2 linked regions of the Drosophila melanogaster genome follow. The gene in region 2 interacts genetically with the main gene of each other region. Each region holds a gene or a part of one and is shown on either strand. Other genes may lie near its edges.

Region 1 (4,981 bases), about 15 Mb from region 2:
TTTCACAGCTCGAATTTATTCAAGTGCACTTTCGAGTGCGCATTTCAGACCTTGCAATTTTCCCCGACCAATGCAAATTAAATTAACATTTATTTATTGGTCCTGCATTTGAAGGACCCATGCAAACTCATAAATCGCATCCGCTGCTGGTCGAACTGATGAATTAGCCGCAAGCCCAATGGAATCGAATCAGAAGGCGACAACTCCATTAGCTATAAAAACCACCCAAACCACGTTCTATGGTGATAAATAGTCGACTGGACAAACACTTTGTGTTTGCCAACACAAGCACAAACGCAGACAAGAGCGACGACGGCAGTATTGAAATCGAATCAACAGCAGCTGGTCTGTGACGCTGGGGAAAAACAGATATTCATTCATCTATCCATCTAGCGTTTGGAACAGCTCAAGTCTCTTTGTCCGGCTCCGGTTTTACCAAATTACACCTGACGTTTATTTGATCGGCGACGACGTCACCGAAAACCATCTGGTAACGAAGTCGGTGGAACTGGCGAGGTGAGAGTATAAAAGGCTTGTGGAACTGGTGAATAGGTATCAAACACCAGTTCCACGGACAGATATAAGATGCGTTCCTTCATCATCATCGCCCTCTTCGCACTGATTGCCGTGGCTGCCGCTCAAGGTGGACCCCAGGGCGGACCTCAGGGTGGACCTCAGGGTGGACCTCAAGGTGGACCACAGGGCGGACCCCAGGGTGGACCTCAAGGTGGACCCCAGGGTGGTCCTCAGGGAGGACCCCAGGGTGGACCGCAGGGAGGACCCCAGGGTGGTCCTGGTGGACCCGGTGGACCCGGGGGACCGTGGGGACTGCCTCCAAATGCCACTCTTCCCAGCAACAGCACTACCACCACCACCACTTCAACGACCACCGAATCCAGCACCAGCACAACCACGGAAGCCAGCACCGAGTCATCCCCTGCTTAAGGCGCAGGACTCCAGCCAATCTAAAATCCATTTTTGGCTTGTTCTCTTCCGCGCTTTCCTCGATATTAATAAAAGTCTTTTCTGCAAAAAGTAAATCTTTCTCACATTTTCTCAGCACCATTTCGCACAAGATACTTGCATTACGTCTACAGAGAGAAATCGTTTGATTCAAGGGGAAAAAGCAGTATTAAATTAATAGTGCGATCAAATTGAGTCTAAAGTGTTTTGTGTTGAACACCCTTTTTGCTGTAACAGCACATAAATTAAGTATTTGTGGGATCGAAAATTTTACTAGTGTAATAAAGCATTCAGATAAAGTGGGATTTCCTGTCAGTGCAGCCCCGTGATGGATGGCAGACCAAGGCGATGGTGGAAGGGCAGAGGGAGGAATGCAAGCCACGGGATTCGGAAATCGAAATGTAACTTGTTCGCCGAGGCCGCCTGGTGGCTGACAGCCGGCGGCCATGAGAGATTCGCTCGGCTGCTGTGACACTTGGAATAGGCACGTCCTTCGAAAGGGACGCGGCAGCAACAAGAGCCCACAAATCCTAGGATGCGCTGCATCAGTTCTTTAAGCCGCATCCTGGTGGATGAAGCCAGCCCGTTTTAAATGGACCATGCAGTCGCCCTCTCAAGTTGGGTGCAATTATGTGACATGGCGCACACACTTCGTGGGCATAAAAAACCAGCTAAACACTTTATTTATGCACTTCCCCTTGTCGTTTGTCTTGAAAGTTTTCGCATTAAAAGAGCTGAGTTTGCCAAACTGTGTGCAATGAAAATGAGTTTCGCTGCCAAAACAGGGAAAACTCTGGCCAAAAAGCAGGGTCGAACTCGCAACAGTTGGCTGCGAGTCCCCCGAAAGCTGTGAAACTCTTTAAATATGCCTCGCAAATTCCAAACATTCTTCGGGGAAGATTTGTAGCTCGCTTATCCCGGTGGAGTTGCATGAGGGGATTGGCAGTCCAGAACGGCTGTCATTGCCATGGATTTCCTGTCCACTCTCGCCTGGCTTTAAGCGCCTTAAGAGCCATTAATGCCGGGCCTTTTGGTATCTGAGGCAGAAATAGATCAAAAGTCAGACCCACACACACGACGGACCAGATGAACTGGGACAGGGTCAAGGATTGGGACAAAGGCGAAGATGGCGATGGCGATGGAGCTGGCAGTCCGTCCCGTTGGTGGCACATTTTTATTGGTCATTAGTGCGAGCCTCTATCGGCATTCGTAAGCATTTACACATCGTTAAACTTTCATTTCCGGCAAATTAAGCGCATTTTATGTACCTTCTCCGTTCGGTCGCCCTCAGCTGCCCACCGCCTCCTCCTCCTCCTCCTCCTCATCCTACCCTGCTGTTTGGGGTCACCCGTTGGTCGGTGTCAGCAGAATGACCACAACAAGCGGACACTGAGAGAAAATCAGAGGCCGTGTGAATACACAAAATGAACACAGCTTTTGATTAGCACTATATAATCTTGCTAGAATGGGAAGGTTTAAAACCATGTTTGCAATGCATTCCCTACCATTTTTTCTGAGTGCAGGAAAGCTGCCCGACTAGGCTCGTGCTGATGTCCCGGACTTAAGCATATTTAATGGAGGGCAAGCAAATGGGCGCCGCCCCGGGCGTGTCCCTTTCATTGTTTGTCTTTCAATCGAAAGTCAATAGCAAGGCTGCGTGGAGGAGTATAAAAGGTCCGTCATTGGGAAGCCGTATGACTTTCCTCGATCGCACGATGTCGTTTTGGGCAGTGAGTCGTGGCCTAACGCCGCCTTCGAAGGTAGTGCCGATGCTGAATCCCAACCAACGCCAGTTTCTGGAGGACGAGGTGCGCTATCGGGAGAAACTGAAGCTGATGGCTCGGGGTGATGCCATGGAGGAGGTGTACGTGCGCAAGCAGGAAACTGTTGACGATCCGCTGGAACTGGACAAGCACGATTCCTTCTACCAGACCACCAAGAGCCTCCTCGTGCTTTTCCAGATAATGGGCGTAATGCCCATTCACCGCAATCCGCCCGAGAAGAACCTGCCTAGAACGGGCTACTCCTGGGGCTCCAAGCAGGTCATGTGGGCCATCTTCATCTACAGCTGCCAGACGACCATTGTTGTTCTGGTGCTGCGTGAGCGCGTGAAAAAATTCGTCACCAGCCCGGACAAGCGCTTCGATGAGGCCATCTACAATGTCATTTTCATCAGTCTGCTCTTCACCAACTTTCTGCTCCCGGTGGCCAGCTGGCGGCACGGTCCCCAGGTGGCTATCTTCAAGAACATGTGGACCAACTACCAGTATAAGTTCTTCAAAACTACCGGCTCGCCGATCGTCTTTCCGAATCTCTACCCACTCACCTGGTCGCTGTGCGTCTTCTCCTGGCTCCTAAGCATCGCCATCAACCTGTCGCAGTACTTCCTGCAGCCGGACTTCCGGCTGTGGTACACATTCGCCTACTACCCCATCATCGCCATGCTCAACTGCTTCTGCAGCTTGTGGTGAGTAGCTGTCCTATGGCAAAAACAAATGAAAAATCCCCACAAAGACAATACTTCCTTTCTGAAATCCGAAAGGTACATCAACTGCAATGCATTCGGAACTGCAAGTCGCGCTCTTTCCGACGCTCTGCAGGTAAAATAACATATTATCAGTGCTCAATTACAAAATTACTAAACTGAAACATCCAGACAACCATCCGGGGCGAGAAGCCCGCCCAAAAACTCACTGAGTACCGCCATCTATGGGTGGATCTGAGCCACATGATGCAGCAGCTGGGACGAGCTTACTCCAACATGTACGGCATGTACTGTCTAGTCATCTTCTTCACAACGATCATCGCCACTTACGGCAGCATCAGCGAAATCATCGACCACGGGGCAACCTACAAGGAGGTGCGATTGCTTGCCACGCAGGGAATAACTCATATTGATTAGGACATTTCCAGGTGGGTCTGTTCGTCATCGTGTTCTACTGCATGGGTCTGCTGTACATTATCTGCAACGAGGCGCACTACGCCTCCCGAAAGGTCGGACTTGACTTCCAGACGAAGCTGCTCAATATCAACCTGACTGCCGTGGACGCTGCCACCCAGAAGGAAGTGGAGATGCTGCTTGTGGCCATAAACAAGAACCCGCCCATCATGAATCTGGACGGGTATGCAAACATCAACCGCGAGCTGATCACGACCAACATCTCGTTCATGGCCACCTACCTCGTGGTCCTGCTGCAGTTTAAGATCACGGAGCAGAGACGCATTGGTCAGCAGCAGGCCTAGTTTCCTATAAAATGATTCTCGCCAAGCTGGGCCAAATATAATATGCTTTCGGTTTCAATGTATATCGAGATTAATAGGATTTTTCTTAGATTTTGCCTCAAATTTGTCCCATCACCAAACTTTATACAGTTTTAAGTCGCTAATGGCCTAAACTAACCACCCAAAACACTTTTTGAATGATATAAAAAAATTTTTTTTTAACAAATTTTGAAATTTTGGAAAGGGGTAACATCATGATTTTTGGCGAAAAATGGAAAAAAATACAATTTCTAAGTTGGAATGCAGTTCGATTGGAAAGTTTATTACGAATTCAACAAGGCATATCACTTTTTTCTCCGATCATTTTTTGGAATGTTATGCGAAAAATAATGACTTTTCTATGACAAAAAGTTAGTATTAGCTTAAGTGCCACATTTTCATTGCAATCATTTTTCGAAACTAGGCTTAAAATTGTCTCACAACCAAAATTCTTACTGTTTTGAATAGCTATTGACCTAAACTAACCACCCAAAAAACTTTTTGAATGATATCAAAAAAAAATTTTTTTACCAATTTTTGAAATTTTGGAAAGGGGTAACATCATGATTTTTGGCGAAAAATTGAAAAAAATACAATTTCTAAGTTGGAATGCAGTTCGATTGGAAATTTTATTACAAATTCAACAAGGCATATCACTTTTTTCTCCGATCATTTTTTGGAATGTTATGCGAAAAATAATGACTTTTCTATGACAAAAAGTTAGTATTAGCTTAAGTGCCACATTTTCATTGCAATC
Region 2 (4,834 bases):
CGACTTTTAATCGGAAAACAGCTGTTGTTGTTTTGTTTTGATAAAATGCAACCAAAACAAAAATAAATAAGCAATCTTGTCTCGTTATTGCAATTATCGAATGCATGCCTTCTCCTGCCACAAATTGCAGGTCCTTCAAGGTTGATTTACAGACAAGGATTACGTACATACATGCATAGTACATCAACAAAAAAGTGCCATTTTCCTGGTTAGTTTTGGGTACTGTGTACCTTAACCAAGGGCAGGCCAAAACTATTGAGGACAAACAGCGCCGCATTTATCGCGCACTATATATAGAATCCGGGGGTGGTCGGTGACATTTTCCCCTCCCATTTTCCACCAATCTACCACCCTCCACCCTCCACTGACGTTTGTAAATCGTATTGCATGCTTTGTTGTTCGCTTTTTGGTCTATTTTTGGATATGACATGTATTGGTGAAATTCTGCACACAAGCGGCCAAAACGTGACAGCAGTAAAAAAAAAAAAAAAAATAATACAGCACAATGATATATAACCGCGAAAAGTAGTCTGAAAGTTCGCAACTCTCATGCTACTTCGATATTTCTAATTAGCGAGTTCTTGACTTCTTCCTAACTAATGTGCGAGTGTATTTAATTAGCTGGCTGTAGAATTTAAGCTGCCGCTACTGTACGAGTATGACCTCAAAAGACCGTGAAATATACATTTATCTACATTCAATTAATTTTGAGAATTTCTATAATTACAACTTGACACATTTATAGATTTGGTTACAGATCACGGAGCAGTGAAAGTTGTAAATTTTAAATAAGTTTAATTTCGGTAATTGTCGAGTAAGCAAATTTATCGCACAACAACAAAAATTAAGAAGATGTTGAAGATGTTCAGAAAGATCCAATAAATTGCACTAAATCAAAATGACCTCAAACAAATTTGCTGGAAGCATTTCAATGAACGAAAGTATTGCCACACATTTCGAGGAATTCAATTGGCTTTCGATTCGATTGTGTGCGTGGGAATATGGAATATTTTAGAACTGGCGGAAAGCAGATAAACCCAGACAACAAAATACAAACAGCTGGAATACAAAATAACCAAGAAGCGTATACGTAATCTCTACACTGAGTTGAGATACATGTAGTAGTACTCTTGATAAGAAAATGGAATTTAATGCAATGCTAGATAGATAGGTATTCAATCTTGAAAAATGTATATCTGTATGATTGAAAGGAACCCTACCAAATTAATCGAGTTTTGTAATCGATGCGTTCAAGTTATGACGTCTTTTCGTATGAGTTTGTTCGGTATATTTTTGATAAAGTCAAACCGGATTTTAAAATTCTTCCCTTGGCTGATACGCTTATCTGCTCGCTCTTTTTTATCACGGATAAATAAAAAGAGAGAATGAAACCGAAAGAGATTCTTTTCTTTCTTTTGTTTGTATTGCCGTGGCCGGGGCACTATCATTGAACTTGTTCAAGGACAAGAGACCCCAAACGGAAATAAAAGGGAGAGAGCACAAGAAATCTGACAAGAGAACCGGTTAAAAAATGGATATCGTTGGGATTTTCAACCACCGGTTGGCGTATAATTGATATTCCTTTGGTGCGTATGGGACAGTTTCAGTTGCCAGGTTCCATTTCTATACCGCTTATACCGCTTTCAATACCAATTGACGCAATTTGCTGATATCGATTAGCAAACAGTGCGATCAAGATAAACACAGGTGGAAAAAATGCGAAAATTCGAGATAACAGCAAATCACAGCCAAACCTTGTTGAGTAACAACTGATTGTAAAATTGAAAGCTATGAACGAAGGCAATCTTTTTGCACTACAACTTTGCTCCGTCCACATTTGTTCAGTATAAAATGCCAACTGATTTGGCTGTTTTGTTCTAAAAAAAACAATTTCTCTCGGCCATGTCTTTTGTTTACTGTTTGCTCTGCCGCTTTGATATGATATAAATCTGCTCGAAATGTCTTCAACAGATTAGATATTAGATTAGAATCTACGTGTATGTACCTAGCAAATGACGTATGAAGATGATAAAAACTGCCAAAAAAAATAAGAGAAATAAACTTTAACTGGTGCAGTGCAAAATAGTTTTGGTCCCGTCCTAGTTCCGTTCGGATGGTAAAACTGGGTCAGCTGACATTTATTTTCAACTGGCGAAGGCAGTTAACCAGGTAACTGGGTCGAATGAAAGTAAAATGCGTGAAGTTACCCATTTATTGAAGTATATGATTGTTGTGTATGATAACAAATGGGACATTACATTACTTTCCTTAACGTTTTTTATGCAAGCACAGCAGAATTTGCAATTCGATTAATTTGATTGCGAAGAAAAGAATATTATTCATAGCAATTACACAGATTTGTTGGTATTTTGAGAAGAATACATTTAAAAAGTTCACATTCATATTTATAAAAAACGTAAACACAATTAGTTTATAACATATTCTAGTTTTACAAGATGACAATTGTTTATAGTTTTTGCACAGACAAATAAAAATGTAACTGGTTGATATATACTAAAAAAAAATTTAAACAAATTCCAGAAACTATTTCTAATGCCAACATGTTTTTTAAGACTATTTTTCGAATAAAACAAACAAAATCCAGTTAGAAATTGTTTAAACGAAAAAAATTGAATGTAAATGCCAACGCACGCACACAAGCACACATACTTTGTGGCTCAGTAGTTGTGCGAGTGTTCGTTGACGTTCGAAACAATTTATGCAACAAAAATGTATTATTTAAAAACTTGCGGCTGTAGCCGATCCCCTGCCGCACTTACCACAATTGCCATACACATTTGAGTATAACTTTTGAAGCTTTTTCGTTGCTTTTCGTGCACGAGAAAATTGAATTCACGTCCACACGCACACACAGACGCACCGCGAGACTCTCACCGACACGAATTCCACGAATGCAATTGGCTGGTGTGTGTTGCCTTTTACGACACAACTATTGCTCTTATTGCAACTGTAAATTGATTGTATCTTTAGCTTAAGTGTTTTTTATTGAATAGGATTGTTAAACTTTGGTTTTTCAGCGACATTAACGCAAAATTCATCTGCAGCTTAACCTCAAATTTCTTTGTGTCTGTCACGCACACACACACACAAACACAGTCAGCACGGGGCGGAACCAATGGTATAAGATGAATCTATCAATTTGACATGAATTAATCGGGCGAAAATAATATCTGTAGTTTCCAGCACGGATTGCACAATTTTTTCTACCGATTTCCAAGAGCAAAGTACTTGTAATCGAAGTAGGCGTTGCGAACAATTCGCTCGTTTGTGTTGGTAGACACGGATGGTGATTATATTCGATAATCTCGAACACTCGATAGAGCCGATAGTATCGAGTGCAATTAAGTGTTAGATAAACATCGATTGCGGGCAGAATCGATACTTTTTTGTAATAATTTAATTACCTATTTTGCAATTGTCTTTTAAAAACAGTTTTTTTTATTTTAAATGTAAGATGTGATTTTAAAGGAAGTTGTACAATATATATACATATATATTTATTTATAAACCGACATAAAATATATAATATTTTCAATATGTCACATACTTTCTTTTCTTATTCATCCAATAAGTCGTCTTATTTTGATTCTTGGTCTGTCCTTCCGAGAATATTCCAATTAAAATTATTCTCTATTGAAAAGAACTACCCTACTATTTACATTCGTAGTATCGCAACAGCAAGCGGCGATCTGAATTAGTCATCTTATCTCTTTCCGACAGAAGTGACGATCAATAGCCCAACGATTTTAAACGCTTTACTTCGAAGAACCTTAAATCGCCAATTTATCCAGAGGGGAATGTCCAAGCGCAAGGCCGAGGACACACAATCCGACAAAATGGCAACGGCCGAGAAAGTAGCACAGGTAATAAGCAACAGCCATAGAAAATAAACAAAAATAGTTTACAAACAATAACAACTATTGTCTGGACAGAACGATTACACCATTGGCCTGGTGGATCCCGTTAAGGATTACCAAAAGCTTATCGAAACACGCGTGCAGGTAGACGAAATCGTGGATGATGATGTCACCAAGGAGAATTTCGATCGAACGGCTGCAGCGGCGCGTGACGTCATCTGGCGGCTGTTATTCGACGAGGCCGGTACCTCGCAATCGAACACAGAGAAGGCCAGCCAATTGCTGGAGGAATACCGTGGTGACGCCTGCTTCTACGACCCGACGCCGTACAACGAATGGATTGTCAAGCTGAGGGATGAGGTTCTAAAGAAGGAACTCCTCGACTTTTGGCGCGATGTGCTGGTGAAGAAGCAACTCGGTCCCTGTTGGTCACGCGACAGTGATCTCTTTGACAGCGACGACACCCCGCCATTGGAGTTCTATGCCCATGCCGGTTGTACCGCTCCATTTGCAGCCAGCTTAAAGGTGCGCGCAGCACTCGAGGAGCAGGCTTCGCTGGATCAGGATGGGCCAGCGACGCCTACAACTCCGGGTGAACTGAGTGCCGATGATGCCGCCGCTCTGTCTGGCGAATTTGAGGCCACCCTGACCAAGGAAAATCCGCTCGAGGAATACCGAACTCTAATGAAGCGCTTTGTTCTGACCAAAATCATCGTTCCGGACAGCGTTCACCAGGCCAGCGTGAAGAAGATAGCGGCAGCCGCCAGGGAGATAATCTGGAAGCTGCTCTTCGATGGCACACCCTCAGCGGAGGATCAAAACAAGGCCGCCGAGCTGCTGCAGGAGTACAAGGGTGATGCTGGTTTCTATGGGCCCGACGACTACAACAGTTGGATTTTCAATCTGAGGGATGAGGTTCTCACCAAAGAGCTTCTCGACTTTTGGCGCGACAAGAT

Evidence for each region.
Region 1: of PRL-1 (region 2) and Gr21a, changing one suppresses a phenotype caused by changing the other (phenotypic suppression), as found in Drosophila melanogaster (one study listed by BioGRID).

What each region holds. Positions count from the first base shown.
Region 1 is NT_033779.5:778,619-783,599, forward strand, and holds Gr21a (gustatory receptor 21a), read left to right. Parts: upstream 1-1,863; 5' UTR 1,864-2,678; coding exon 2,679-3,430; intron 3,431-3,505; coding exon 3,506-3,563; intron 3,564-3,619; coding exon 3,620-3,823; intron 3,824-3,876; coding exon 3,877-4,206; 3' UTR 4,207-4,267; downstream 4,268-4,981. Other genes in the region: CG13947 (uncharacterized protein), read left to right, coding at 586-945. UniProt on the Drosophila melanogaster protein: Gustatory and odorant receptor which mediates acceptance or avoidance behavior, depending on its substrates. Gr21a and Gr63a together are sufficient for carbon dioxide detection and avoidance behavior.
Region 2 is NT_033779.5:16,254,296-16,259,129, forward strand, and holds the start of PRL-1 (PRL-1 phosphatase), read right to left. Parts: upstream 3,312-4,834; 5' UTR 2,781-3,311; intron 1,861-2,780; exon of another isoform or gene 1,755-1,860; intron 1-1,754. Other genes in the region: EndoGI (endonuclease G inhibitor), read left to right, coding at 3,819-3,884, 3,954-4,834. UniProt on the Drosophila melanogaster protein: Probable phosphatase. Inhibits growth possibly by negatively regulating Src64B-induced growth. Regulates central nervous system circuit formation and stabilization of synapse-dense terminal arbors.